Linked DNA regions of Diceros bicornis minor. The protein of the gene in region 3 purifies or fractionates together with the protein of the main gene of each other region. This does not show direct contact. Links are inferred from orthologs where the notes say so. Each region holds a gene or a part of one and is shown on either strand. Other genes may lie near its edges.

Region 1 (7,711 bases), on a different chromosome or scaffold from region 3:
ATGTTTCAAAGTCTGGCAAGGGATGTAGGCATTACATTTGTTCCATACAGCTCTGAGAAACAATGGGTACAAGTTACAGGGAGACTGCTCAACACAAAGAGCAGGTCAAAGACCAAATGGGTTACCTTAGGAGGTAAGGTGACTCTGCTCAGCTGATGGTGAGTCACTCCTTACTCAGTTCAAGCTGGATGCCTTCTTGATGGATACGTTATAGAGGGAATTCAAGTATGGAATAGGTGGCTGGACTACAGTGATATTTATGATTTCTTCCAACCTCAAAATCTAGGATTCTGTAAATGTCTCCCTAACTAAGATAACAACCACAATGATATAAATGGGTTGTTAGCAGTGAAGCCTACCAAATGGAACACAGAACTTGATGCCATATAGATTCATCCCTGAACTGCTTCTATGAATGAATGAGAACTGAGTCTAAAATGTGTTCCTTTCCTGTGTTCTGCCAATTAAGACAGTACTTGTGCAGTTGAAAGTAAGTGTTTCTTAAGATATCAAATACATACACAATTTTCTTTTGTAATTCCAGGGGTGTCATGAAACCAGTGGGCATCTTTCACATCTTCTGGGGTCAACTGTACTCGTTTGGTGGATTTATCTGCCACAACAGGTTCATTTCCCATGTCAAAGGCAAGTGAATCAGCATCAAACTCAAAGGGAGCTTCATCCTTCCGTTCTTCTGAATACAAGAATGTTCTTCCAACTCTTCCTAGAACAAGTTAGATTGAAGTTATTAGTCATTCTTTTAAAGCTTTTGATTCCAGACAGGTAATTCTTATGTTTGCCTCAAACAAATTACTAAGACTAACTGTAGTGTATGGAAGTGAGACTACAATGATACCTTTGCTTTTTTCCCCAAAGGCAGGGGGCCAGAATCTTGCAATGATCAAGTGAGTGGCTGGTTGTGTACACTGGGTGGGGGGAGAGGGTGTTGGAAATCAAACTGTTTTCAGTAAAGGAAGGTTGAAAAGAGATACCAAGGAATGGGTGACAATCTACAGTCATGTGCTGCATAATGTCATCTTGCTCAACGATGCCCCCTTTTTTTGTATTTTCTTGTGAGCCTAAGTATCACATATTTATCATTTCCTTTTCATTTTTCTTAAGCAAGTTCACAAACGTTTTTTATCCATTTTTTTAACTTCTCTAGTCTTTATCTTTTTTAATCAGATTTCAAATCCTTAAATCTTACTAGAATTTTGTACTTCTTGGCTTCCTTTTCTATCTTCTCTAGTCTATTTAGGAACTCTTCATCTCTAGAAGCCAGAGGACTCATAACTTTTTCTCATTTTTTGCTGAGTATTTGGGGGAAATAACGAAACTGAAGACCAGAATTTAGAAAGGGGTTCTTCCAGCTCTTTACCTGCTCCTGGAATGGGTGACAATCTACAGTCATGTGCTGCATAACGTCGGCATAATGTCTTCTTGCTCAACGATGCACCACATACATGACGGTGGTCTCACAAGATTAGCACTATATAGTGTAGGTGTGTAGTAGACTATATCATCTAGGTTTGTGTAAGTACACTCTGTGATGTTCGGACAATGACAAAATGGCCTGATGACACATTTCCCAGAACATCTCTCTGTGGTTAAGTGACGCATGACTGTAATTTAAAGCTGCTGCACGGAGTCAACGACCTGCACTGGTCTGCAGAGAGGGGGGCTGTATCTTTTTTCTTCTACTGCTGACAATGGCTGGGTGGGTGGTTATTGCATGTTTCCTTTCCTGGATTTCTTCAAGATCTACTGTCTCAATTTTCTCAGCACAATGAACTCTGGATTCCCAAACAGTAGTCTTGCCTCTAAAGGGCCTCTATGTTCCAGAATGAGGAAAGCAGTCACTCCCCACAAAAACTGGCTAGCCCCAGACAGCTATATTTCAGGTTGCTCAACAAAGAATTTTAGCAACAACTCAACAAGAGTTTTCCTATAGAACATGCTTACCTACTACATAGCCATGCTTTTTCAAGAGATTAAGTTGATTTTGTTCTTGCTGACTAAGATCTTCTTCAGCTTCAGCTGCATCTTTTTTAAGCCTTTTTTGCCTTTTAAACATTCTGTAAGGAGTTGGATTGCAAATAGGAAACTTCAGAAGGTTTAATGTAGTACCTGAAATACCAAAGAATAAATATGTTTTCTAAACACTGTACAAGAAAAAGGAATAAGAGGAGGAAAACTAACATCTTTGAGGAGCTACAATGTCTTGGGGACTGTGATTTATTTCACTTAACCTTCATAACACTCTACAAAATTATTCTTATTTACAGATGAGAAAATTGGCTCAGAGATTGGCTCAAAGTCTCAACCAGGATTTGAATCCTTAGATTAAATCCCAGGATTTAAATCTGCAGGCCTGATTTCTTTCCATTTTCACATCCTACCATCCAGTATAAAAGCACTTCTGTGTATAATTCAACCAAAGTCCAGGACAGAGAAGAACAGCTTATCAAAGTTAAACCCTGGTTTCAAAAGAACTAATGAGGCAGTTTTGCCAACTGTTAAATACAAAGAGGGTCACAGAAGAACCCATTTTGCAATCACAGAAGTTTCATAAAGCCACAAAGTTGACATTTCTTTCCAACAAAGCTACACATCACATTGCATTAGTGAATTATTCAAATGTTAAACGTGCATAGTATACTGATCTCATGAATCAACTCAAGACATGAAGAGTAAGATTGAGGGGTGAGGGAGGTTTAGAAAGTAAAAGGACTTTCCAGAGAAACATACAAAGAAGTAAAGCTACAAGAGAAACCTCCAAGAGAGCAGGAACTTTGTTCCTCTGTTCATCTACAGTGCCTAGAACAGTGACTGGAACATACAAGTGCTCCATAAATACTTCTTTTAGAAAATTACTGAATTTCCAAGCACTAAGCTGACACAGAAGAGAGGTGTGACCAAAGTAGGAAGACAGTTTTTAAAGGGAAGGCTCCAGACAGCCTCTGGTGGACAATAAGGAAGGCTATACTAGGTGCCTGGGCCACGACCAGACTTCTAGCTTCTCAGACAACGAAGGGGGTGGGTCTCCTAAGGCTCACCAGGCCAAGGGGAGATGGTGGCTCTGTCGATAGCCTCAGCGCCCTTGGCGATGCAGTAATCGGACTCCAGGAGCGTGTTGAAGAGAGTAGACTTGCCAGCGTTGGTGGCGCCAACCAGGTAGACGTCACCACGGTAGCGCCAGGAGCGCTGAAGCGCGGAGATCAACTCTTCAATTCCATAGCCAGTCTTGGCGCTGATGAGCCGCACATCCCTGAGCACCGTGCGGCACCTGGCCGAAGGGTTCGAATTCTCCTCGTCTTGTGGCCCTCGGTGGCCAGGGAGCGGCAGGAGCCCTGCGCGGGCACAGTCGTCCCACAGCCGCTGCCGGAGCCGCTGCCGGTAGCCGGGAGCGTCCTGGGGCAGCAGGTCTACCTTGTTCCCCAGAACGATCAGCTGCTTGGGGCCCACCAGCGCAGGCAGGTCGGGCAGCAGGGCGTCGGGCAGATCGAGCACGTCCACCATGTAGAGCACCAGCGCGGGCCCGGGCCGCCGCAGCGCGGCGCTCACCAGCGCCAGGTACTGCTCGCAGCTCACCTGCAGGCGCAGGGCGCGCCGGTGGTGCACCAGCAGCCAGCAGCGCTGGCACACGGTCCGCGCCAGCCCGCCGTCGGCCTGCGCCGCCGCGCTCAGGAACTTCTCGCTGGGCAGGTAGCCGGGCACGCCGGGGTCCTGGCAGTGCAGCTCCGCCCCGCAGCCCGAGCAGTTCAGGCCGCTGGGCGGCACCGTCGGGTCCGGGTGCCCCACGACCGGGTGCCCCCGGCGGCTGGCCCGTAGTTTCTGCTGCCGCCGCTCCTCCCGCCGCTGCTGCTTCTGTCGCTCTTCCTCCTCCTGCCGCTCCTGCAGCTCCTGCAGCTGCTTTTCGGGGGTCGGTGCGGGCTCCGGCTCCGGGACGTACTCGGGGAACAGAAAACGCTCCTCCATGTCAGCCCTTCCTTCGTAACCCCCAGTCCCTGTCGGGTCACGAGGAAGCCCACGTCCCAGGCCCGATGGGTGCCGGCAGGAGAAGGGAGCCGCGCATCTCCTCTCGAGGAGCGGCTCCGGGAGGCCATGGCGCGCTACCTTCGGTGCGGATCCCCGCAGGAAGCCGCACAGAAGCCTACCAGTGAGGCGTGCGGGCAGCATGGGGAACACGGCCCAGAGCAAAGGGGCGGAGCCACGTGCGCGCACGCGCACTGGGGCCAGAGGCGCGCGTTAAGACCTACAGGCAAGGCCGCGGCTACCGGAGAGCTGTCATTTGTCAGCCGCCGCACTTCGTCTCCTCCTCCAGCGCCTAATCCCGTGAGTTATCGCGATGAAGGCTCTGAGGCTTCAGAACCCACTTAAAGCTGCGGCAAAGGTACCGACGGCCTAGACTTAGCTGAGGGGGCAAAAAAGGCTAGTGAGTGAGGGTTTGTTCCCTTTTAGGCTTCTTCAACGCGCCGCCGCTGGCGCAACCTGCCCTTAATAAATCGCATTTTTAAAGGCTTCGTGGTTTTTGAAGCCTTTAGAAATGCAAAAAATAGAGCATCGAATGCCGCAAACTCAAGGCTACAATTAAAATTAATAAATCTTCTTGGCCTTTTTTTTAGGTGTCATTTGTGCAACAACATTAAAAAAAACTTTCATTGGCTGGATCGCACCCTCACTCTGTAGGAGTCATCGTCGCAATCAGCCGCAAGAGGCGCCGCCCACAATTTGCGCGTGCGCAATTGTAACCCTTAGCGGCCCTTAGCCTACCATTTGCGCAGGCGCAGATGTTACCTAGCTTCTCTGTGGGCGGTCTTTGGCCTCGGACGCGGAGTATTCTGGGAACGCCGGAGACGGAAGTCACTTCGTTTAGGGCTCCGAGACGGAGTGGTAGCTACGTGCTTTTCTCTCTGTGATTTTTAAGAGTTAGCAGCTCGGGAACCGTTTGCCAACATGTATGACGCGGACGAGGGTAGGTGACCACTCAGAACGCTCCGCGGCGACCCTTCTGTGGAGGGAAATGTGGGGAGCTGGACGAATTGAGGATTTGCGGCCTCCCCCCCCAGCCCGCCGCACGAGTGACCCCAAGTCGTGTTCCCCACATCCCCCAGGCCGGGAGTGAAGCCGCGATGGGGAGAGGTGGAGGGTGCAGGGAATGTAGCATTACTGTTCCCGGTCAGGGTGACGCTTGCTCTCTGCACTGTCAGCTGGATAGATCTGATACCGCCTTCACGTATTGAGATAACGTGCAGAACCATAAAACAGTACCATTGTTTTGGCTTTGTCTGAAGCAAAGGGCTCCCTTCTTGATTTCTTATGAGGCTAGGGTTAGTGGATTTATTGAATATTTGAATTTTTGAGCGTCAGTTTGTGCCAGGCATTGTGCTGGGCTCTGGAAATATACCGGGGACAAAGAATATCGTGTGTGTCGAGAGAGTGTTGGTCTAGTTTGGCATTCCTTCATGCCGTCGTATGTCTAAGTGAATTGTCTTAGAAGATGACCTTTAGATTTTCTCAGATGGTATGTATTCAACTGAAGAGGACCAATATATCTGTTTTTCCTTTCAGGTATAGAAGTCTTAGTCATGTCTAGTGTATTTTCGTTAGGTATTTTTAAACCTCCCTCTTCCATTCTCTACAGCTACTGTATCAAACCTCATTTTCTTCTAGTTCCCAATCCTGTGGCCACCCCTCACATTGCTGCTTATTCCCTTAGCTTCTTCATGGAGAATACAGAAGCAAAAGCTTAAGATCTACAGTTTAAACTTCTCTTTTTCATTTATATCTTGAGTCTAGAAATTTATTAGCATCATTACATTCCCTTTTCTTAACTTCTATCTCAGAAAAAAATTCAAAATTTTTTTAGCAGAGTTTTTTGTGTAGATAGTATATATTCTCATGGCTCACAAGCTGGAAAGTATAAAAATGTTAAAGTGTAAGGTTTCATTCTTGTCCACTGTCTGTCTAGTGTGAGCCCCCTTCACTGTAGGTAACCACTGTTCTTAGATTCTTATCTCTCCAGAGTGCTTTATGTATATTCAAAGAAATATAAATGGAATTCTATTTTCCCCCTTTTTACAGACAAAAAGTAACATTCACACTTTTCTGCACTTTTACTTTTTGCTTTTTTAATATATGTATCTAGGAGATTTTAATATCAGTTCATAGAGCACATCCTAGTTTTTTTTCTTCACAGCCTGCCTAGTTTGTATGGATGTACTATGACGTAGTAATGTCTTACTGATGGATATTTGGGTTATTTCTAGTCTTTTTCTGGTTCAAACAGTGCTGTAATGAATAACCTTGTGCATGTCATTTTGTCCAGTACAAGTATGTCTTTAGGATAAATATGTAGAATTCTACATGTAGCTGTAGAATTGTCAGGTCACATGATATACATGTTTAACATTTTGCTGGATGGTGCCAAGTGACCACCATAGTGATTGTACTAATTTATATTTTCCTTAGCAATATAATAGTCTTGTGGAAAAAGAGTTAAAGTTATCCCATTTGTCAAGTCTGCTCCAGCATTGAGTACATTCCGTTCCTGCCTGTATCCTTTGATATCTTTATTAAATATGTCCTCATCAGTTTTCAGACGTTCCTTTTCACCTGACTTCTTTCTATGCAAAATGTTAGATCTCTCTTGTCCTCAAGAAAACAGGTTAAACTCTCTATTGTTTCCTTTTTCTTCCATTGTTTTGCCTTTCTCCTTTCATTCACAACCAAGCTTTTAAAAAAGAATAGGCTGTCTTCGTTGTTTCCAATTCCTATCTTTCAGGTTCTCAACCTATTACAATCTGATTCTGCTCATGTGATATAAAACAGCTCTTAAGAATATTAGTGATTTCTCAATTGATAAATCACATGGACATTTTTTAAACCTTATACAAACCCTGTGGTATTCAACATTGTTGATGACTTCCTCCTGGAAACTCTCCTTCCTTCTGCCACGTCACTCTCACTTAATTCTTTTTACCTGTCTGACTTTCCTTCTCATTCTCTTCTACTGTTCATGTTATCCCTGGGATAATTTCATCCATTCTTCATGGCTTCAGTTACCATCTGTATGTGGATGACTTCTGAATATATATTGCCAGTTCAGATGTCTTGCGTATCTAACTGCCACTAGATAACTTCGCTTGAATCTCTCCTAGGCCTCTCAAACTTGTCGCTGCCCAAACTGAGCTCACTATTTTCCTTTACCCATCACCCTTCCAAAGCTGCTTCCTCCTGTGTTCTCCCTCTCAGTGAATGGTATCACCCTCTTCCATTGTTGAAGCCAGAAGCCTGGGCATCATTCTTGAATCCTCTCTTTCGCCCCTACGTCTAATGAGTCACCAAGCCCTGAGGCTTCTGTCTCCTAAATATGTCAAATCTGGTCACTTCTCTGCCACAATTCTAGTTCAGGCCACCACCATCTCTTGCCTAGATTACTTCCTCAGACTTGTAACTGGTTTGTGTACTTCCACTTTTCTTGCCTCTCCAGTCCACTCTCCACACTGGCCATAGTGATCTTTCGGAAATGAAAATCTGATCTAGCCACACCCTTGCGAAAATCTTAGAATGGTTACTCAAAGCTCTGTTGGTAAAGACCAAACTCTTTTACCACTCTAACTTTACACTCCTTGTCTCAGCTACATTGGCCTTCTTTCGTTCCCTGAATATCTTTCATGGTGGAGTCTTTCGCACAAGTTGTTTTTTCTGT
Region 2 (7,783 bases), about 56 Mb from region 3:
AGTTCGTGTGTTCCACTTCAGCGGCCAGGGGGTCGCGCTGGTTCGGATCCTGGGTGCGGACCTACTCCCCGCTCATCAAGCCATGTTGAGGCAGCGTCCCATACAGAAGAGCTACAACTCTACAACTATGATACACAACTATGTACTGGGGCTTTGGGGAGAAAAAAGAAAAAGAGGAAGATTGGCAACAGATGTTAGCGCAGGGCCAACCTTCCCCAAAAAGAAAAAAAAAAGACAGTGCCTCACTGGCCAGTAAAAAAAAAAAAAAGTGTCTCTCTTCCAAACTGCTCACACAGAGTTCATAATCCCCTCTTGTCCCTGCCTCACCTTCCGCCTACAGAAAGGCAGACCGCACAAAGGAGGTCCTGGGCAGAAAACCTCTTTAAAATGAGAACAATCTGAACGGAAATGAATGTCCTCTCAGCTCTCCACCCTCTACTGGCTCTAAAACAGAACAAATGAACACAACGCAAGAAACATATTAGGAATGTTTTCTTAATAAAAGGCATCTGGGAACCTGAGCCACCACTAACCTTTTCCTAATTCTGCACTATCCCTAGTGTAATGGTTCATCTTAAACTGTGAATTTGCAAATGTGAAGTTGCAGCTGTGTTTGCCAGTCGTCATGTGTTCATGTAGCAAACTGGGGTAAAGTCAAGATCCTCAATTCCAGATGAATATTCAGTTAAGTTTCCAAATGTTCCTTTTTAAGGAAAAACATCCTCAGACGAACATTCCCACATGCGAGTTACAGCTGTTCAGCCTGCATGCTTTGTCACATATATTATTTGTGTGCGTTCAAATATCATAAAGCTCAAATAAATAACTGTTCTCAGGAAATGGAAAAGCTCACAAAACTTCTGAAACCCAGGGTTTTAGAGGCAGAGATTGGCTAATATTTTACTCCAAAAATCTACCTTTGAACCACAGAGAATAAGTAGCTCTGTCTATAATTTGCTACTTTGCTGTTAAACTTGCACTGTGATTGTGTCCGTCTAAAGCAGACCAGCGGGGCCTGGGGGGACTAACGAGACGGTCACAATGTAAAAATCTCCAACTGACCAGCTTTCAGAATATGCTGGGTTGTTTCAATTTGGCTTCCTCAAGCTAAACATTTTATTCATTCCTCTCTATGTTGTTTTAGAGATGAAAGGAATGCTACAGTTTTCTAAGAAAATCTTTCTAGAATGCAAAAGAAAATGATTTTTGAAGTCTGCCAATCAATATGAATGCAGTTAATATACCAAGTAACGTATGCACTGAGAGCAACATGTTTTTATCCAGACGGCACATGAAGTTTCTTAAAGCTTCCCTCTTGGAAATGGACGAGTATTTTATATAAGCCTATTTTGGTAAACTTAGCATGCATTTTCAACGCTTTTCAGCATCTGTCTTTTATTATCAGAGGATACCTGATATCCAGATGACAACAAAGTATTTTGAGTACCTTGAAAGTCAGATCCTGCTCCTTATTCCTGTCCTAAATCATAATTTTATTGTGACATCAGGTTCATTTACACCAACAATTTTATTTCCTGGACAGGCAGGCAGCTATTCACTCTAAAATGCAGATTCTATTCTCATAAATATGTTTCACGTAAGGAAAATACTTAAAACTAGTATGCATGTAAAATTCATATTAAATAGAATCTTTTCTGACCTTTAAAATGTAGCTCCAGAACATGCACAAACTTATGAATAAGATTAAACATTTTACTTTTTCAAGTCACCTAATTAGCATTATTAGCAAATTGTTATTGTGCGTAGGGGTCAAGACAACTCCATTTAAAAAATGAAATAGTTTTTCCTAATTAGTGTACTTCAATTTCTCCATTTAACACCTTGTAAGTAATTGTTGATCTTAAGATTATGTATTGGCAAAAAAAAAAAATGGGACAAGATTGCAGTGTTTTTGACATACAGGCATACACCGTTTTTAAAAGCGTTCCGTCCCCTGCACTGCTTCGTCAGCCGTGGAGAGGAACGCAAACTTTAGTCACTCACGGAGATGCGGGTCAAGGTTCACACTCCAGCCCCGGAAACTGCCCGTCATGAAGAAGAGGAGCAGAGTCTGTAGGACTAGGGGTTCCGCTCAAATTCAGGTATGAACCTGAAAATGAAATCTAGGATTTTAAGCCAGCCTTGAAGAATGCCAGGGCTTTCCAACCCCGTGTCTGCCATCCTCTGGCGCGCAGACGGGAAGAATTCTTTCGTGGAGAGGGCGGAAAATCGTTTCACAACCCAGCCCTCAGCTATCGATGAATGCAGCTTTAAAAAATGCATAGCAATTGGTCAATTAAACAGAGGGTGAAACTCTCATACAATACCAGCAACAAAAGCTGTTCAAACAAAGCCCTCGGACGAGCTGTGCGCAGTGCTGGAGCACGGTTTTCTGCTGGGGTCACCGAGAGGGACGACTCCACCTTCGGGCGGGGCAGAGCAGAGCGCTCCCCTTCCCTCCGGACCTCCCGGGGGGCGCTCCTCTTGAACGCGGCCCCGGCCCCCTCCCCAGCCGGCACCGCACACAATGGCGCCCCGAGCTCCCGCCACCGGGTTCTCGCGCCGCTGGCGCGCCCCCCGCGCGGCCCGCGCTCCCGGGTCCGCGCACAAAGGAGGCGCGTGGGCTCCTCGGCGCCCCGCGCTCCCCGGCCCGCGCAGCCACCAGGTGCGAGCGCCAGCAACCCCGCGCCCGCGCGTCTCCGCGCGCCCCGGGCCTCCCCCCGCCAGGGCTCCCGCTGCCCTGGGCCTGTCCGCCGTGCGGGCCTGTCCGCCGTGGGGGCTCGGGGCGGGGGGCACTCACTTTCTCGATGGTCCCGGGCAGCAGGCGCTCCAGCAGCCTGCAGAGGACCACCCCATCCTTCAGAGACGCCTGCAGGAAGCCCTCCGGGTCCGAGATGGTTTTCTTGGGCGACTCCAGCACCCCCAAGGTAATGAGCCACGTAACGGTCTGCTCGGCGGAATTCATAGCGGCGGCGCGCCCGGCCTCCCCGCGCCGCGAGCCGGTCTCGGCGCCGTTCACCTCGGAGCGGCCGCGGCCAGGCCCGCTGCGCCCCCCGCCCCCTCCTCCTGCTCGCCCATGGAGAGGCCGGCGACGGCGATTGGCTCGGGCGGCGCCGCGGTCCGGCCGGCTCGCGCTCCCTCGCGTGCGTCCTGGCCGACTGTCAAGTGCCTTTTCATTACATGCACATGAACCTGCGGCGGCCGCCCGGCGCCGCCCCCGCCGCCGCCTCCCGGCTCCCAGCCGCTGCCGCCGATGACATCACTGCCAGGAGAAGAAAAGACGCCGCGCTGAGCGGCCCCGCGCCGGGCCCCCCGGCCGCCAGCACCCCCGCGCTCGGGCGGCCGCCGTGCGCCCCCGCCGTGCGCCCTCCACACCCGGGCCCCGCGCCATGCGCCCCCGCCGTGCGCGCGCCCCCACCTGCGAGGCCGGCTGTGGGCCCCCGCCCCAAGGGCCCGGTGACCTCCAGAAGGCGACAGCCCGCGGGCCGGGGAGGGCTGGCCGGGCCTCCCAACCCGCGGGGCGCGTGCGCTCTTAACCGTTTGCGCCCCGCGGAGCCCACGCGCAGCCCCCTCCGGAGGCGAGAGCCCGGCCAGGCTCCTTTCGCTGTCCTCTCCCTTCCGCTGTCCTCTCCCCTCTCGGAGGACTCGGAACCCTTTATTTATAGTCTCAATTCATGAATGTTTAAATTATTAAATGCTTCCCAGAATGCTCTTTTTATTTTTGCCAGTTTCATTTCAAGAGGTTGGGGGGTTGCTGAAAACGAGATGTTTGCTTCTCTCCCCCTACCTTGCAAGCCAATAATTACAGAACACAAATGATAATTAAATCTGTAACCAGATGGGTCTAATTCAGGGAAGAATTGATTTTCTGGGCGCTGCTGCGATCCTTGGGGATATGGAGGCCCCAGAGCGCGGTGCGGCCGGTGTCATGCGTGCCCCCTGCTGGGAGGCCTGTGACCTCAGCGGCAGGGACGCGGCTGGCCCCTCTCCAGGACCAGAAACCTTGGAGCGACTCTGTTTTAAGTTGCTGGTGACGTTTCTAACACTATGGGAGGAAGGTCAAGAAAAGAGCAGAGGCTGACCTGGGTCTGTGCAGATGATAGGGAAACAAGGACTGAGAACAGCTCAGTCCAAACAGGCCGTTTGGCCAGATCCCACTTGGACAAGAGATGCTCTGTTGCAGACAAGGCTTTGAAGGCACTCGGGCCAAACCTGAAGAACTCAGCCCTCCAACTGTCACTTAAGGAACTTGCTTCTTCAAACAACGAATGACATTGACACATGTAAAGGCTAACGAAGGAGAAGAGCCTCTTCTTGAAAGAAGCAGGTGTGAAGGTGTCCATGTATTTCCATTTACTCCATCCACAGTCCAGGAGTGCCTTCCCCACTTGCTTGCTAGGACTGCCCATGGCAGCTTCAGACGGTATTAACGGTCACCTACAGAGAGCTTACTGTGTGCCAGACACATATAGCAACCCAGTTAGTGACAAAGGCTAGAAAGACTTTTAAAAACAGAGGCTTAACTCTCCTCTTCCTCTGCCTTCTTCCGGAGTACTTCCATTGCAATCGTTATTGCATTTATTTCCAGCTTGGAGTTAGCGTTAAATTTTCTTTCCAAATGCAAACACAAAGTAATTCAAAGAGCAGTATGAATTCTGGATTTTGAGGGCCCCCTACTCGGTGGTCACAGCCGCCACTTCCTGAGCTCCCTGTGTCTCTGCCCAGTGCTCCCCCGCCACCCCCCCCCCACATTATGTCACACCATCGTTACTACAGCCTTGTGGAGTTTCTCTCATTGTCCCCATTTTACTGGTCACACATCCAACGAGTGGTGGAGATGGCCTCAAACCTGGGCTCTGAGCCTCCAGGACCCACACACCGCACATGTTTTCTAGACCACTTCCCTACACGACTTTTAGGAAACGGCAATTAACAGCTCCATCAAATTTTGTGCCGAAAGACTCTATCAGTGGAAGGGTGTTGACCTGAGTAGTTCTCCACTCTTGAGAGATGCCTGTTTACTCTTAGTACTGCTCATTTGGAGACGTAATTTAGAGTACAGTCATTTCAGATTCCATTACGTTAGATCTGGTGCTTGTAATCTGGTAAACAAGGGTAAGATTCAACTTGACTCAATCAAATGGTGGTACAGAAAGGCAACTCTGGGGCGTGGCCTTAGGTCACCAGTGAACCTGGCGCCAATTACTGTCAGAAGGGAGACCCACGGGCCACCTGCCAGAACTGGTCTCAGAAGTCCCTGGGCGTTTAAATGCTTCAGAGCTATTAGTGGCATTCTTTTACCTCGGATGTAGATTAATTTCAGAAAAGTTTATTTGTAAGGGATTCTAGAAAGTAACGTTGTTCAAAACTAGGTGTTTTTTGGTGTTTAACTGAGCTGTTTTAGCATCCAAGGTGGGCATTTGGTTACACTTAACATTTTTCCAAGTTCCTATTACAGAGGACGTGTGCTACAGAGGAGAACTCGTTGTTCTGTTGGTTGGAGCCAGTTAGGATTGTTGTTGGCGGAAGACTTGGGCCCTGCCTGTGGATGCCCTTTGACCCACCTCTGAAGAGCATGTGCCCTTCAGTTCCCTGACATCTCACGAGAGGACCTCAGCTTCACGCCCAGCTCGGCTGCCTGGTAATGCCTGAGAGCCACCTCCCAGTCGTCATTGCGGTGCACCCACAAACGGCCACAAACCAGTAGTCACCCAAAGCTCAGCCGAACTGTGCTGACTCTATTTGTCAGCTTATTGGTGCTTGGGGATGGTGTTACAAAAACGTTGAAATCTACCCCAACCTGAAGCCAGGCAGGCAGATGGCTATTTACCTAGCAGTGCGTAGCAATCTCTCCCTGTAGAATTGCTTTTATTGACTGGACTATGATCTAGATTGAAAAATGCTGTAAGAAGCAGTTCTATGAAGCTCATTGTATCTACTGTGTGTTATCAAAGACACTCATTTTATCAGGGTCCTATTTATTTGGCATAAATATGGTCAACTGCTAAAAATTAAAGATGCAGGGCAGGAAAAAAATAGTTAATAAACATGTATGGCTGAAAAATTACTCAAGATCGGAAGACACTTTACCAATATAGTATATTATGAAACATAATGTCACTGAGACACTTACCCTAGTTTAGGTTCCCCCAGAAGCAGATCCTGAGCCAACAACTTGGGTGCAAGTAGTTTATTCTGGAAGCCATCCCGGGAAGGATAAACGAAGAAAGGGAGAAAGTGAACGGGGAGGAGGGAAAAAAGTGAATCAAAGATGTGTAAGTGCGCCCCATTCCCCCAGAGACCAGGGGGAGAAGGGGCTCTGTTCCCCCAGGGAGCCTGGAGAAGCAAAGAGGAACAGGTCTCAGTGTCTTCTAACCGGAGGACCAACAGGCTAAGAGTTATCCCCTGACTCCCGTCTCCTGTGGTTGAGGGTCTCCTCCAGGGGCAATGACCTCTAATTCAGCAGAGCCTAAAGTCGAGAGAGCAGGAGATCCCCCACGTGGACCCCTGGGAGAGATGGTAAGGGGGCCAATGCTCTTTCTCCCCGTTGCTGCCTGGATGCTGCCTTGTAGCTACCAGGGGAACGACACCATATAACAGCCACTGGTTCAACGTATATGCTGTCTTGAAGGACAGTCCCTAACCCTGCGGGAAGTCACCCCCTCCCTGGCCTCTGCATGTATCCATCCAGTGAGAGGAATCGCCTCTCCCTCCAGGACTGCAGGACTTGGGTGTGATCGACTTGCCGCCAAGTGGCTGGTGTTACCACATCAGCGGGCAGAATCATTCTCTGCTGTGGGTAGCGAAGTCGGTAGCTGTAGCTCCTGCTCCCCTCCATCTCTTGGACACCTCCATCCCTGCCATCAGGACTGTGCTGTCCATGGCCTGTTGTGCAGGGCACTGGAGTGGCAGGCAAAGCCTAGGCTGGCTGCCCTCGGCTACAGACACCATCTCTGCGCCTGGTTGCTGAGCGCCTCTGCCTCAGTGATGCTCTCTGGGGATGGACATGGGGCTCAAGACCCACAGGCCTGTGTCTGCGCCCACAGGTCCCTCCACAGACCCCTCCCCACCTCCTTGCCACCACTCGTCCCACCTTGCCCCTTCCGGGCACCCAGACGAGGAGCCAGCCACCCACCCTGTCCAAGCGTCTGAGCGCAAAGGAGATGACCATGAAAGGCTCAAAGCTCTGCCAGCAGTCCTCACCGCGGTCCTTTATCCCGCCCCAGAGTTGGGCTGTCATGTGGCAGCAGTCCGTTTTCGGTTCATACTAAATTATCAACCAGACCCATTCGTAAAGCAGGCCCGTTCTCTCTCTACCAGCTGGTCATAGTAAACGTTCCGCGATGTCGCAGGTGTGAGCTGAGGAATGTTGGGAGTCCAGCCAGCGGGGGCAGGGGACTTGGAGGACTGGGTCATTTGTGTCAGTAGCTTACTGTGCCTCGGGACCTGCTCATGCCACGTCCCAAATGCACCTATCCCTGTGGGCTGGATGGCTGCTATGCTAGCTCCACCTGGTCACTTGGCGCCCCTCCCGGCCACTGCCTGTCAGAACGTCCTCTTAGTGACGTTGATGCCCCTCGTCGGGGCATTCTAGCTGCTTTAGAGAAAGGAGTGTCTCCAGGTCTCCAGCTGGTGTCCATTCCAACCCTCCCACCTCCCTTCCTCCCCACTCTGCCCAGGCTGCCCAGCCTGAGGAGCTATCCCTGCACAGACTAAGGGCCGGCTCTGCGCACCAAGATGTTAATCCTGAGATGGGAGCACCATCACATCCCAGACCCTCCCA
Region 3 (7,173 bases):
CCTCAAGAAGGACGCATATAGGAAGGAAGGAATCAATAGATTTAGTGAGGAGGACTACAAATAATGAGAGATCAAAGTCATTTTGGCATTCTTGGAGAAAGGGTAACAGAAGAACTACAGTTTCTTTCAAAGGAAGCAAAAGAGAACTCAGCACCTCAACTGATCGTGTACAGCTGGAAAGCTGAAGCAGTTTCAGAAATCTTGAGGCTCTTGAGGAAAATTTAAATGATTCACCATTACTTTATGGGTAAATACATTTCATCAAACAGAAAATGCTATACTCGGTAATCAAGGAAAGAATCAAATATGGAGAAGGATAAACAGGGTCAATCTAGGTACAAGAGAATTTCAATTTAGTTTCAAATTTAACGTAACTCATAGATTACTTAATTATGCTATCTCAAGTGAAGAGTACATCAACAGCAAGTATATGGACTCCTACAGGTACCAACAGCATCAGGAAAACACACCTCAGACACAACCAGTAGCCAAACGATCCAGCGGCAAGATCTCAAGATGGACCACTGGGTTGTCCAATGTCAGAAGAAATTCTCCAAGACTGTTACCCTGGATGGGTAGACTCAGAAAAACAATTCCTGAACTTGAATATGAAATATATACAAGGGTTACTCAGCAAAACAGACAAACAAATCATGTTACAGCAAGTAGACCTCAGAAAAGAATAGAATTTACTGGGCTCCAGAGTAGACAAGTGAGAAATAATAATTCATTGAATATACTAAGGCAAAGATTTGGAATTTTAAGACTAAGACCTACTTAGAACAAAAGGCAGCACACACTACTTCCCAAAGGAGGTGTCACTTCTTCACAAAGTCCACATATTTACAGAAAAATTAATCACCAGCATCCACACCATATGGTTGGTCCAAATGAACAAATAATAAGGAACATTTTACTGGTTAGGTTGAATGCACTGAGTTTTTCAAATGAAAGTTGGTCCTATTTAGAATAGCAGTGAACTATTTACAAGAGGTTAATTTGGTGTTTAATAGCTAACAAAGAATAACAACTCAACCTGAACTAAACAAAGCTTCAATTAGCTGTCCCGAAGACAGTCGTGTCAACAGAGCAGAGATGTGAATAATTTAACTGCAAAATTCATACCACGAAAACTCTTGTCTTGCTAGCGTCTTTTTACTAAGAAATCATGCTGGTATTCACTAGATAGGATTAACTAAAGAGGATACTGACAAGTTGTCCACCACAAACTACAAAGCCAACAAAGACAAAGAAGGAAATGAAATAGCACCTGCATTAATCTGCGTAAACATTTACACAGCGGCAACACATTAAGACAGCTTGCCTGTGAGTTTCTTGTTCACTGTACTGCCTGCTGGCTGGCTGAAAATTCCACGTGCCCTATTTGTCGTCAGGCAGTATTTGAGTCTAATACTATCCAAACAGTGGATTAAACACATAAACTATTTAAGTTCTGGTGTCTGTGTGTTTTTAGGATTTAATTATGTCATTGAATATTGTGCTAACCTAGTAATCTGGTTAAGCAATGCTTGCTATAGCAAGGACTAAATTCACAGCCAAGATAAAATTTATCAGAAGGTCAGGTAATACCATATATAAGATTTATTCTAAAGCTGTCAAAGAATGTGGTACAGAATAGGTGACATTTGAGCCGGATACTGAAGGATGAATGATTCATCAAGTTGGAGGTGGAGTGAAATGGCATTGAAGACGAGGAAATATGGCTAGCTCTAGAATGGGGAGCATTCACCCAGGCTGGAGTGAAGGGTACAGGAGGCTGGAGGGGTGTGGCAGCAAATGAGGATAATAGGATGGATTAAGACAAGAGGGAGAATGGCCTCATTGTACACTAAGCTAAAGTTTGGACTTCATTTCATTGAGTAATGAGAATCTACCAAATATTTTAAAGCAGAAAAGTGACAAGAGATGCCTAGCTCTGCCCTTGGCAATATAGAAGGATAAAGTGCAGAAGGATTAAGGCAAGTAAAACTGTTGAGAGGCTGCATTAAGAAGTAGTCATGACCATGCAGATGGGAACGGGAGGCCAAATCTGAGCAACATTTTAGGAGAAAGAACCAAAACAATTTTAACATCCAACTGAAGGTGAGGGAGTTAAGGAAAGGCTGCAACTCCACAGACTACCATGAAAGATGACAGAATAAGGAGAATGACATCCAACTTCATCTCCTACCTCTATCACACACGCTGCACTCCAGCCATCCCAAAATTGCAATTCCACCACCAAGTCGTGCGTGCTCATGTTTCCAGGCCTTTGCCCATGCTGTTCCAGCCACCTGCAGCCTAGTGAGTCTGGTGAACTCGTTCTTTCCATATGGTCCTTCCTCCAGGAAGCCTGCCCTGACTACAACCGGGACAGGCGCCTAGTCCCGGGGCTCCAGGAGCCCGCAGTGCACGTCTTGATAAAAACAGTCTCCGCGCCACAGTCACTGTTTACACGTCAGTCTCTTCCCCTGACACTGGCTCCTCCACGTCGCCATCTACCCCTCACTACCGTCTCCCAGCGCTCGGAAGCCGGGGGTGTTCCTTAAATGTTTGCTGAGTGTCGTGGACGAAAAGACTCACACGGGGCTCTCCCTCTAAGGTCCGCTGCGGTTCTGACAGTCTTGGGGTTCCAGAGTCACTGTCATTATTAAAATGTCCTCTAAGGGGAACATGCCATCTCGGAGTCCCAGAGGGTTGCAGACACTCGTGCCCCGTCTTTGGAGTGAGCGCCACAGTCCCCCGAGCGCGGCCGTCCCCGCCGAGCCCCGGCAACCAGAGGCAACGCAGGGCCGGCGGTCCGGAGTCAGTCCGCCCGGCCCAGCCCCAGCCAGGCCCTCAGGCCGACGGCATTACCTCGACAAGACCTCCAGATCCTCCAGCGCAGACAGCAGCCGCTCTCGCGTGCTGTTACCGCCCGCCGCTCCCGAGCCGCCTGCCGGCCGCTCCTTCTCCTTCTCGCCGCTCGAAGACGCCGCCATTCTTCGCTCGGACCAGCAGCCGGCGCCTGCGCAGCTGCGCGCTGGCGACGACAGGCGGGCTGGGGAGGCGGAAGGAAGGGCCGCCGAGGCGGGGGAAGAGAGGCCCGGCCGGAGCGCCCCCTGCGCGCCCAGAGGTGCATTGCGCGCGCGGGCGCCATCTGCTGGGCCAGCGAGGGCTTTCTCGGGTCCCACCCTGGAGCGAGAGCCAAGCCCACAACGTGGAGACGCACCTGCGGTCAGGTTTTCCAGCGACTTCGCGTCTTCAAGCAGGTATGGGAGGCTTCTGCTCGACGGATTTTAAACATTCGAGGGAATTACATAATGGCCCACCTCTTGTGTCAGTTCTTCGTGAAATGGGCCGGGGTCTTCTCAGTATTAACCTCTCTTTAGTCTGCATTCCCGTTAACGCTATTCCCACCCTCCTGTTTGGCATCTCTTGAACGCAGTAAGCACCTTAGGACCAGAACCATGATCCAAATTTTTTTTTTTTTTTTGGGAGGAAGATCAGCCCTGAGCTAACATCCATGCTAATCCTCCTCTTTTTGCTGAGGAAGACCGGCTCTGAGCTAACATCTATTGCCAATCCTCCTCCTTTTTTTTTTCCCCCAAAGCCCCAGTAGATAGTTGTACGTCATAGTTGCACATCCTTCTAGTTGCTGCATGTGGGATGCGGCCTCAGTATGGCCGGAGAAGAGGTGCGTCAGTGCGCGCCCGGGATCTGAACCCCGGGCCGCCAGTAGTGGAGCGCGTGCGCTTAACCGCTAAGCCGTGGGGCCACCCCATCCATCTTTTTTTATCTTCAGTTTTTCTTTATTGTGGTAAAGTACACATAACATAAAAACGTACCTTGTTAACCATGCTTAAGTGTATAGTTCAGTGACATTAAGTACATTCATATTGTTGTGCTACCATCACTATCTCCGTAACTCTTTTCATCTTGCAAAATTGAAACTGTACCATTAAACAACTCCCCATTCCTGCCTCCCCCAGCCCCTGGTAACCACCATTCTGCTTTCTGTCTGTATGGTTTTGACTGCTCTAGGTACCTCATAAAAATGGAATCATACAGCACTTGTCTTTTTGTGACTGGCTTATTTCACTTAGCATAATGCCTTCAAGGCTCACCCATGTTTTACCATGTGTCAGAATTTCTTTCCTTTTTAAGGCTGAATAATATTCCTTTGTTTGTGTAGACCACATTTTGCTTATCCATTCATCTGTTGATGGGCACTTGGGTTGCTTCCTCATTTTCATAATCCATCTTTATAATCCCATAACTCCCAACAAAATGTGTTGCTCAATGCTCCACACGACTGTTGAATTGAAGGAATCAATTTACTATGTAAGTGGTAGTTAATTAAATTGTTGTAGCACATATTCCAAATCAGAACTGGATGTCAAAGCCAAAAATGTACCTTAGCCCACTTTTCCTGAGGAGAACAATGTAGTAGGGGACTTGCAGTCTACAGGAAAACCCAAAGTTACAACAGTATTGGAAATGGCGAGTTCTATGTTGGTCCAAGTTGGGCTGTAAAAAATGAGTTGAAGAGTTGTCGCCTACAGACAACAGCTGGGAAGGAGGCAGGCGTACTTGTGATCCCCTTATTCCAGCATCCTGTCCTCTGGTCTGTCCTTCTGCTGGGCACGTAGAGTTGAAGATTCCCTCGGGGACTCATGCTAAATAAATTCATTCATAGCAACTGCTGTATATAATCCAGAATGCTGATTTATTCACTTACAATGAAAAGTAGTAGTGCGAAGCACAATTTTACTCATAGACAAACCTACACAAGAAGCCAAATTGTCACCAGAATGTCATTTGGTAAACTTGGATCAGAACAAATGAAGATAGACAAAAAATCAATTAATACAATCATCAGGATTTGCATCTCCATAGTGTAGGGACATTTGTGTTAAAGAGATTGGAATATTTGTGTTCATAGGTCAGGGTGCCTTCTCCTCTAGACAGTGCAAAGGCACCAGACACCTTTTATTTTCCAACCACCCCCCACTTCTGCTCCTGGCCAACCCCTTCTATTAATACAGTCAATTCTCAGGCAGTGGAATAAATTAGATGTATGTTTTCTCAATTACAGTTGCATTCTAAGCATGCATCCCAGTAGCTCTAGTCTGTAATCTCTTATGTTAAGTTTCCAAGGGACTAAACTCTTACACTCTCTGTGGGTTTTGTTTACTCAACTCTCACAGGTTCATCTTGGGCCATAATTCTCGGGGGGGAAGGGAGAAGTTCAGTAACACTAACTATATTAGTGTAGCTTCCACGTAAATATTCTGGGAGGATTCTAATCAATTTAAAATGACCAATTATCAGTCCTACTTTACAGACATTGAGAGTCAATGGATGGACAGTGTATGTGTGCTGTGAACTCCAGACCTCCTCAGATTTATTGCAAATTCTTATGCATGTTGAACATTGTCTATAGACTGATAAGTAATAGCATTACCCACAGATATACTCTTTCACAAATTGTGCAGATCCAGGTGTGATAAACAAAATATGAGTTATTTTATAATATATATATTAAAATTGAATATGAATATTTTATATATCTTATAGTTATTATAATAATTGAATTCATGGTAACTTTGCGTGTAAAGTATTTTCTCAATCTACAGACTCAAAAAGGGTAAGTGCTACTTTCCTATGAAATTTTATGTATTTAACCTGCCAGGTACTGTTCTTTAAAAAAATGAAAACTCCTTTAATTCTCATAAGAGTCCCAGAGGCATATACCGTTATTATCGCTATGTTACAGATAATGAAGTTAGGAGGCAGAGAAATTCAGAGACTTGCCCAAGGTCATACAGCTGGTGAGAGGCAAAGCTGAGATCTGAACCCAGAGTCTGACTCCAAGGTCTGTGCTCTTAGCTGCTGGTTGTCTTGCCTCCCTTTTTAAAGAAAGAGGTGCCTTCATGTACTGAAAAAGGGTTACTTAGGGCTAGTCTAAAATACAAGCTCTGTCGAACGCACAGTTTGAAACTCTGAGTAAAAAGCAGCTGCAAACCTTTCGTGTGGCGGTGTGAGCATGCAGCGAGAAACCCAGCCAGGCCGGTCCCTAAGAGTCAGCAGAATAGGTGGCCGTATACACTATGTGTGGTTTTTTTATTATTATTTTTTATTTTTATCAAGCAATGTTTAAAAGTCAAATAGTGCTCAAAAGCTAACAAAAACAAAAAAAGTTCTCAGTCACTACCTCCCCAACCCCCACATCCTGTCACATTCCTCTCTCCCTAGCGGCAACCACTCTCAACATTTTTAACTGTTTCTTCTATGCGTTGCTTCCATATTTTTAAATAATATGCATATATTCTATGTCTCTATTAAACCCTTTGAGAAATTTATTGCTTTCCTATTATAATGGAGAATTTTCTCTCTCTTACATGTAGCTAGAATCCAATTTTTTTTAAATCTATCATCAGTGCTTACATTACTACACTATTATTTACACGTAACTATGTAATTATTATTTGTTTGAGATGCCTTACAGATATCTCTGTAGAGATTTTTAAAAATTGGAATAGAGCAGAAAATTTCTAAAGCATCAAATTACATTGCACTGCTTTGTGGAAACATTTTTCAGTTACATATTTATGTATGTGTGTACTGGGTCAAAGATTAAATATGTTTTTTACTGTGGATCGAAAAAGTTTGCAAGCGTTGGAAAGTAAGGAGTAGAAAAACATGTTCTACCTGAAGTGCCCTGAAGGGAGAGTCTGTATACCTTTTGCATTCAGGGGGCAGAAAATTAAAGCAAACGTGTGCAAATAAAGTGGTGTGTTGCGATAATTATCTGGGATGCGTTGCACAGATAGAGGGTGTTATAGGCTAAATTGTACACCCTCAAAATTCATATGTTGAGGACCTAACCCCCAATACCTCAGAGTGTGACTCTACTTGGAGGTAGGGCCTTAAAAGAGATGAGTAAGTTAAAACGAAGCCATTAGGGTGGGCCCTAATCCAATCTGACTGATATTCTTATAAGAAGAGGAAATTTGAACACACTGAGAGATGAGGGATGCATGTGCACAGAGAAGAGACCATGTGAGGACACAGCAAGAAGGTGGCCATCTGTAAGCCAAGGAGACAAGCCTCAGGGGAAACCAAACTAACACTTTGATCTTGAACTCCAGAACTGTGAGAAAATAAATGTCTGTTGTTTAAGCCATCCAC
Region 4 (6,991 bases), on a different chromosome or scaffold from region 3:
AGGTTCCCAAATGTCCCTAGCCGGTGTCCAGCCCTGCTCATCTAAGATGCCCTTAGGATGGGCATCTTGAGGTCTTCACTCCTGTCCCTGGGGCTGCCAAAGTAGAAGCGTTGAGTTGGAGGCCCATAGCATGAGAGCTGGGCCAGGACTGTGTGGCAGGGGAGTGGAGGAGAAGGAAGGGAGAACACACATTCTCCAGGGTTCCCTGACCCCTGCTCCTCTCTTGGGACTCCTAAGGCAGGCAGGGACACAGATGGTGCCTGAGAGGTAGCACTGGCTGCCATGGGAGCCATGCCATGTCCAGCTGCCTCATAACATACTCACACTTGTCCCCTGTGTGCCCAGGCCTCGAAGCAGAGGGATGACGGGGCCCTTTGGGCTCAGGCTGCATCTCACATTTTACCTCCATGACCCCCCAAATTAACCAACCACAAAAAGGCTACGACCTCACTCCTAGGGCTGGGAATGTAGGGTTCCTGTCAGAGTGAGAGAAGCCTACAACTCTGGGTGGGAGGCAGACACTCAGCAGGGAGGCTAGTGGGGTGGGTGCTCTGGGTCTGGGCTCCAGACTGCTGTTACTCTCAAGCCTCTTACCTGGGCTGCTGCAGTTCCCAGACTGAGAATGCCACTCCAAGCATCATAGAGTGGGGGTGGGGGGTAGCCCCAAGTAGCCAGCTGGGGCCCTGACAAGCATCCAAATGCTTGGGGAGTGGCTGCTATGTGCCAGATACCATGCTAGGTGCTGGGGGGTGGGGGAGTAATGAGTAAGACTTTGTCAGCACCCTGCCCACCTCACCTGCCTCTTCCTGACCTGTATTCTGGACAAGGGGAAAAGGAGGTAGCCAGGGCACAGATGCCTGTGGGATGAGGACTGGGGATAGGAGCTGGGCAGTTCAACACAGATACACACCACTCCTCCCGGAGCCCAGTGGGCATCCAGAGGCTTCAGCCAAACAGTTAAATGCAATGGAGAAAAGATACCCTTGCTGATGCTGCCCTATGTCCCTCTGGCCCAGAATCAGGACAACAGACTTGGAGATGGGATGGTCCTCAAAACCATTTCTACTCCAACTTCTTTGCCTCACAGTTGAGGAAACTAAAGCCCAGAATGAGGCAAGTCTTGCCACGGGTCACAGAGTGAGCTGGAAACACAGGTAACACTAAAATCCAGGCTCCCCTGATAGGGTGACTGCTAAGCACCCCCCTCCCAGCCCTTCTTGCCCGCTCAGTGCTATGCCCACCCAGCAGAGGTGCAGAACATCCTGGGACAGACATGTAGAGGGCAAGCTCTCCTCTCAGCCCTGCCAACCCCAGACTTTCCTGTGGTTGGGAGAAGGGGATCATAGTTTCCAGCTAATTAGGGGTAAGAACACATATCCCCCAGATAGCTTCTTCAGAACCCTTTAGACCATGACATGCCCTGAGAGGAGGCCTCGGGGTCATAACCACCCACAGAGGACCAGGCCTCTGCCAGGCATCCACAGTGCCCAAACACTCTAGCTTGGAGCCATCAGAACCACCAGAGTGTCTGTGGGTCTTAACCTGTTGGGGTCCTGGGCCTGTGCAAAGGGTAGCTGGAAGTTATGGGCCCATAAAACAGCACCCCACACTCGCACACTTAATTGTGCCCACAGTCCCCCTGGAATTCAGAGACCCCCTGAGCCTGCCCAGATGTCTCCCACAGAGATGGCTCCTTTTCTAAAGACAGGATGGACAGGGGCCAGGGCTTCCTTCCCCAGGCCAGCTGCTGAGCCCCATCACTGGCAGTGTCCCCCCACATTAGAAGGGAGCAGCCTTTCAGGTCACTGCACCTCACTTCCTCAGCAGGTCAGGGGAGTTTCACATCAGCCTGGACCTGACTCTGCTGTGAAGGAGAAGGGAAACACCACTGTAAATACAGCCAGGAGGCAGGCCAGGAAGCCAGCTGGATCCCGGGAATCTAGGCACCCCTCAGCACTGCTCCCTACCCATTTCTGGCCAGACTGGGCTAGGGGACCGGGAGGGGTCTGTGCCCAGGCTGGGGCAATGCAAGCCCACCTTCCCAAGCAGGCCTTACTAGGGCACAGAAAAAGCCGAGTCTAGTTGCTGCCAGACACCAGGCGGCCTGGGGATGCCTCAGGGGAAGATGCCCAGGCTCATACTGGCCCTGAACACCAGGCCCTGCAAGGAGCCCCAGCCTTGGGAACCAGGGGCAGGGAGTCCTAGGAGTAGCCACCCTCTCATCTGCTCCCGAGGAAACAGTAGCCAGGCCCCCCTGGCCCATCCACCCAGCTCTCTGCCCCTTGCCCTCCGCCACCCCAGCGGGCGCGCAGACCATGCGAGCAGCAGGTGCAAGACGCGGGGGCGGCACTGAGATGACACAAAACCACACTCGCCCCCACCTCCTAAACCCTGCCGGCCTCCGCCACAGCCCTCCCGCCCCCCCCAGGCTGGCGCTTCCGTTTGGATACGGAGATAGGAGGGGGGGCAACTAGCTGCCCGCCTTCCTCAGACTGAAGGGTGGGAGGCGGCGCCGGGAATGTCCTTCTTCGCTCGTCCACGGACGCGAGGAAACAAGGGCCCCCCCCAGGCCGGCCCTCCCGCCAAGGACGCGGCTCCGCAGTGGCTCGGGCGGGGGCTGAGGCCGGAGGCCGCAGCCCCCAGGCCCGCCCCGCCCTCCGGCCCCGCACGGCGCTCCCGCCAGGCCCCGGCGCCCGCCCGGCGGCGGCCTCGGTGCGCGGTCCCGCCCCCGGCCCGGCCCGCTTACCCGGGGCGCTGCAGTCCGCACACACCTCCGCTCGCGGCCCCTTCCGGGACATCCTCAGCGGCGACGCGGCCGCAGCCCTCTGGGCCAGCGTGGGGGGCGCGGGCGCGGGCGGCGGGCCCGGGCGGCGGCGGCCCCTGCTGCCCGGCCCGCCTCGGCCCCGGCGAGGCTCCGCGCGCCCGGCCAACCGTCCGCCCCCGGGACTGGCCCGGGACCCGCCGTGCCCGCCTGCCCGCTCGCCCTCGGGCGCCCTCCGCCCCGCGCCGCCCCGCGCCGCCCCGCCGCCGCTCGCCGCTCGCCGCTCGCTCTCTCCGCCCCCTGCGCGGCTCGCGGCCGCTCCCGCAGGAAGCGGCGCAGGCCCTGCCCACCGGGGGAGGGGCAGCCTGCACACCCGCCCCTCCGCCGGGCCCCGCCGGCCGCGCCTCCCGGAGAAAGGAAGCCGGGAGCGCGGGCGGAGGGGCGGGGGCGCTTAAAGGGGCCGCGGCCGCGGCCGCCAGGCCCGAGCGGGCAGCGTCGCCTGCGGCCCTGGCCTCCGCTCCGGCGCTCCCCTGGCCTGGAGGCGGCGTGAGTCACCCTCACAGCCCCATCCCCTTCACTTTCGAGATGGAGAGTGGCCCACGGGGCTCGGGCCCAGGGTCAGTGACCCCTCGGAATCAGGGAAGAGAACAAGGAGCTGGAGGCCCAGGCCCCCCTCCTCGGCAAGGGGCTATGGTTTGGGTTACCCGCCTATCTTTGGTTGGGGTGAGATGTGCGTCCTCGTGCCCCATGTGTCCACATCTGAGTGTCCAGGTGTGTGTGCGGTCACACCCTTGCTGATTAAGCACACTACCAACAATATGGACGCCCAAATGCCAGAGAGGTCATGCAGTGTATCCCCCTGCCTCCGGGCTAAAAATACATCTATCCTTCCTTCATGCGTCCATCCAGAGAGGAAAGGATCTGGGCAGTTTTTAAAGGCCTCCCTCCCGAGGAATGACCACTGTGCCTATGTGCAGTAATATCCACTTGGCATTCTTCTTAAACACACCCACGTTGTTTCTGGGCCACCAGAGGTGTGTGTCCAGGGTGCGTGCACATAGTACACAGGGACCTTTTTTTGTGGTGGCCTTTCTTCCTGGACTTCACACGGAGACTCGGCAGAGGTGGGGGGGACAGGGAGCGGAGGCGCAGGCCGCACGTGGGTGCACCCCTGCACTGAGCATGCTCCCCTATACACGTGTGCCCCGCGTGCACCCAGCCCCCATCCCTGCAGCAGCAAAAGGCTAGAGCACTCTGCTTGTGGGGAGAGGACAGGGGTGCCCAGGACCAGGCCTGGGGGCCAGGTCAGTGGTGACACGATTAAGGGAGGGTTCCCAAGCAGCAGGGAGTCCTGTTCAGTAACAAAGTGGGAGGAGGGGAGTCCTTGGGCAGAGGTTCCTGAGTTGGTCGATTTTATCCCAGCGGTGCCAGAGCAGCAGTGACTTGTGGGTGGGCAGGCTGCTTCCCTGGAGGAGACAAGTAATGCTCATGAGTCACACCACCCGAAATACATGCAAAGCTGCCTCCATCGCCTTTCACTGCAGCCCAGATTGACAAGTTTGTTTCAGATCGCGATCCACGGGGTATATTTATAATCGCCCCTTTAAAAAAAAGTCTTCTTGCAGGCCTCCCCTCCCCCCACAGCTAGCCGCTCAACTGGCAGGGCTTCTGCAAGAAAAGATACCTCTCGAGGAGGGGGGCGGGGGGAATACCACCTGCCGCCGCGTGCTGCACCCGCACCGAGGAGTCAGTCCATGGGCTTGCTGGCCCCATCCCGAGCGACGAGAGGAGCGTCCTGGCCGCCCTTACCGGGCGTACTGCCCAGAAGCGGTGGCCGCCGGTTCACCCCCGCTCGACCCCCCGCTATGGAATTTCATTTATTAAATGTCGAGGCGGCTGCTGGCAGTCCCATCGCTTGGCTGTCTTTGTTTCTCTGCTGTGTGGGCGCGTCTCGAGCACGTGGCAGCTGGAGCGCGCAGGCCGGAGGAAAAGCGACCTGGTTTAGAGTCTAGGGCCGCCTGGCAAAAAGAGAGCCCAGCAGCCTGTCCCCCAATTCAGGCTGAGCTTCCCCCCTCCTTGAACTCCAAGACTTTTCAGGGGAAGAACGATGATTCATCCGGTATCCCGGACCTCCGCCAGCTCTCCTGGTTGGCCCAGGGACCACCTGGGTGTGGCCCAGACAAGGATCCACTCTCATAACTTTGTTCCCCAAATCCCCAGCCCCGCCACAGCTGAGCTTCTTCTGGGCCTGGGGCTAGGGATAAAAGCGTTTCAAGATTTCCCTTTGGAGACGTCGCCACCTCAGGAAGAAGGACACTTAAAGAGAAATCACACACAAGGTTCTAAAACCAATTTAATGAGGAAATGTACAGGCATTCTCCCGGCCACTCCTAGCCGTCCCTCCCCCGCTCCAGCCCTCTCCCCAACTCCGGCTGCACCCACGACACTCTGCTGACCCCTCGTGGTAGAGGTGGGCGGCGGTCCCCAGCGGCCCGAGACGCCAGTAGGCTCCTCCCAGCCTGGAGAAAGGGGTGAGGCAGTCCACTCCTCCCTCATCCTTTCCCGCCCGGGCCTGGCACCACAGAGCATGGAGGTGGAGGGAGAGACGACCATACAAAGAAACCTGAGGGAGGCGCGGAGAGTTTGCAAGCTTTTGGTAGCACCTCCCACACAAACAGTTCTTGGATTGTTCTAAGTAGGGCTGGTATGGAATCCCTTATTCCTGTCTTATTCTAAGGTGGGCTCAAGAAGGCACTGTGCCTGGTCCCGCCACCTGTCTCAGTCCGCCTGGTTCCAGGAGGGATGCGCCGTTTCCAGGGCAGTTACTATCCTTAGCTCACCCCAGGAGGTAGTATTTAGAGTTGCATTTTAGAGGTGAGTGGTCTGAGGAACCAGAAAATTTAAGCAATTTGCTTAAGGTCAGGCAGTTAGTAAGGAGGAATGCGAACTCAGGCCTCTCTAACATCCCAGTCCCTTTTCCCTCCAGGGACTGGGCCAAGCCTCTAGGTCCTTCCAGCCCTTGCAATAGGCGGCCCCAGAGCCAATTCCACTTTTAACCACAGCGTCTACAGGGACCCTTCGGGAAGACCCTCTCTGCCCTGCGGTTATCCAGGAAGGAGACAGTCTCTGGAATCAGTCACTTCCTCTCCTGAGAGGACCACATAGGGAGGAGTCGGGGAGCTGCCACCTGCTGCTTTTTCTGCCCAGCCCCTCTCTGGCTTGCAGAGGACAGCGTACGGGGTGGGGAGGGGCTGTCCTCTCAGCCTTAGTGGACAATCTCTTTCCAATGTCAAATGTGGAAGATGGAGCTTAATTGTATAAGAGGGCAGGGAAGACTCCTACGTAATATTTCAGGTGCCAGACCCTCGGTTGCTCAAATAACCCTTGGTACTAATGCCCCGTACCTTTCTCAGGACTCCCCCCATCAGTTACTCTTTTCTTGGAATCTAGATCCCTCCTCACGTTCCACTGGGACCCAAACTCAATCTGAAGGCCAAGGCCACACCTTCCCGCGTCCCCTAAAGCTTGAGCAAGGCCTGTAGCCACCTCCCTCCCCAGCAAAAGGCAAAAGGCCAGCGGGTGGGGGTGCGCCCCAGCCCACCTGGCGTCAGGACACTGCCTCTGTTTTGGCCAGGCTTGACTCCCTCCCAACCCTCTCATGGGATCCGGTGGACAGTGCGGGACCCTCTCCGGCCACCCCCGCCCCCAGTTCCAAGAAGCGGACTACAAGCCCCATGATGCCGCGGGGCCGAGCTATAACAAGCTCTGCCCGGGGCACCCGCGTCCCCCTCCCCTCTCCTCCGCATCCTCTCATCCCTCGCCGGCCGCTCGGGCTGAGGGCCGGGCTATGCAGCTGCGGGGAGCAGGGAGCTGCGGGCGCGCGTCCCTGCGGCGGCGTCCCCGGGGGCCGCGCCCCGTGCGCCCCCGCGCCCGCTGCGGGCGTCTGCTCCCTCCGCCGAGCGGCGTCTTTGTGTGTGGGGGTGTGAGAGGCGAGGCGCGAGTCCGCGCCGCGCCGCGCCGCCGAGTGTCCGCTCCCTCTCCGGGCGGGTGGGGGCCTCTCCGCGCCGCCCGCCGCCGCCGCCTCGCGAGGACGCCCGCGGCCCGCGCCGCCCGCACCGCGCCGGGCGCGCCGCCCCCGCCCGCCGGCGCCGCTCGCACATGCCCGAGCCGCAGCCCTGCGAGCAGGCAGCCCCGGCCCCCCGCCCCGCGGCCCCGGGCCCCGGCTCCGGC

What was found.
Region 1: the proteins of MED4 (region 3) and POLR2B purify together in Homo sapiens (affinity purification with mass spectrometry; 3 studies listed by BioGRID and IntAct, with this or other methods). This does not show direct contact. The link is inferred for Diceros bicornis minor from reciprocal best matches to the Homo sapiens genes MED4 and POLR2B.
Region 2: the proteins of MED4 (region 3) and ARHGEF7 purify together in Homo sapiens (affinity purification with mass spectrometry; 3 studies listed by BioGRID and IntAct, with this or other methods). This does not show direct contact. The link is inferred for Diceros bicornis minor from reciprocal best matches to the Homo sapiens genes MED4 and ARHGEF7.
Region 4: the proteins of MED4 (region 3) and GIT1 purify together in Homo sapiens (affinity purification with mass spectrometry; 3 studies listed by BioGRID and IntAct, with this or other methods). This does not show direct contact. The link is inferred for Diceros bicornis minor from reciprocal best matches to the Homo sapiens genes MED4 and GIT1.

The regions. Positions count from the first base shown.
Region 1 is NC_080747.1:44,466,677-44,474,387, forward strand, and holds the start of POLR2B (DNA-directed RNA polymerase II subunit RPB2), read left to right. Parts: upstream 1-4,708; 5' UTR 4,709-4,956; coding exon 4,957-4,975; intron 4,976-7,711. Other genes in the region: NOA1 (nitric oxide-associated protein 1), read right to left, coding at 522-724, 1,963-2,127, 3,057-4,179. UniProt on the Homo sapiens protein: Catalytic core component of RNA polymerase II (Pol II), a DNA-dependent RNA polymerase which synthesizes mRNA precursors and many functional non-coding RNAs using the four ribonucleoside triphosphates as substrates.
Region 2 is NC_080748.1:85,189,728-85,197,510, reverse strand, and holds the start of ARHGEF7 (rho guanine nucleotide exchange factor 7), read right to left. Parts: upstream 3,008-7,783; 5' UTR 2,966-3,007; coding exon 2,801-2,965; intron 1-2,800. UniProt on the Homo sapiens protein: Acts as a RAC1 guanine nucleotide exchange factor (GEF) and can induce membrane ruffling. Functions in cell migration, attachment and cell spreading. Promotes targeting of RAC1 to focal adhesions. May function as a positive regulator of apoptosis.
Region 3 is NC_080748.1:28,976,087-28,983,259, reverse strand, and holds the start of MED4 (mediator of RNA polymerase II transcription subunit 4), read right to left. Parts: upstream 3,002-7,173; 5' UTR 2,982-3,001; coding exon 2,857-2,981; intron 1-2,856. UniProt on the Homo sapiens protein: Component of the Mediator complex, a coactivator involved in the regulated transcription of nearly all RNA polymerase II-dependent genes.
Region 4 is NC_080757.1:18,089,548-18,096,538, reverse strand, and holds the start of GIT1 (ARF GTPase-activating protein GIT1), read right to left. Parts: upstream 3,005-6,991; 5' UTR 2,799-3,004; coding exon 2,747-2,798; intron 1-2,746. UniProt on the Homo sapiens protein: GTPase-activating protein for ADP ribosylation factor family members, including ARF1.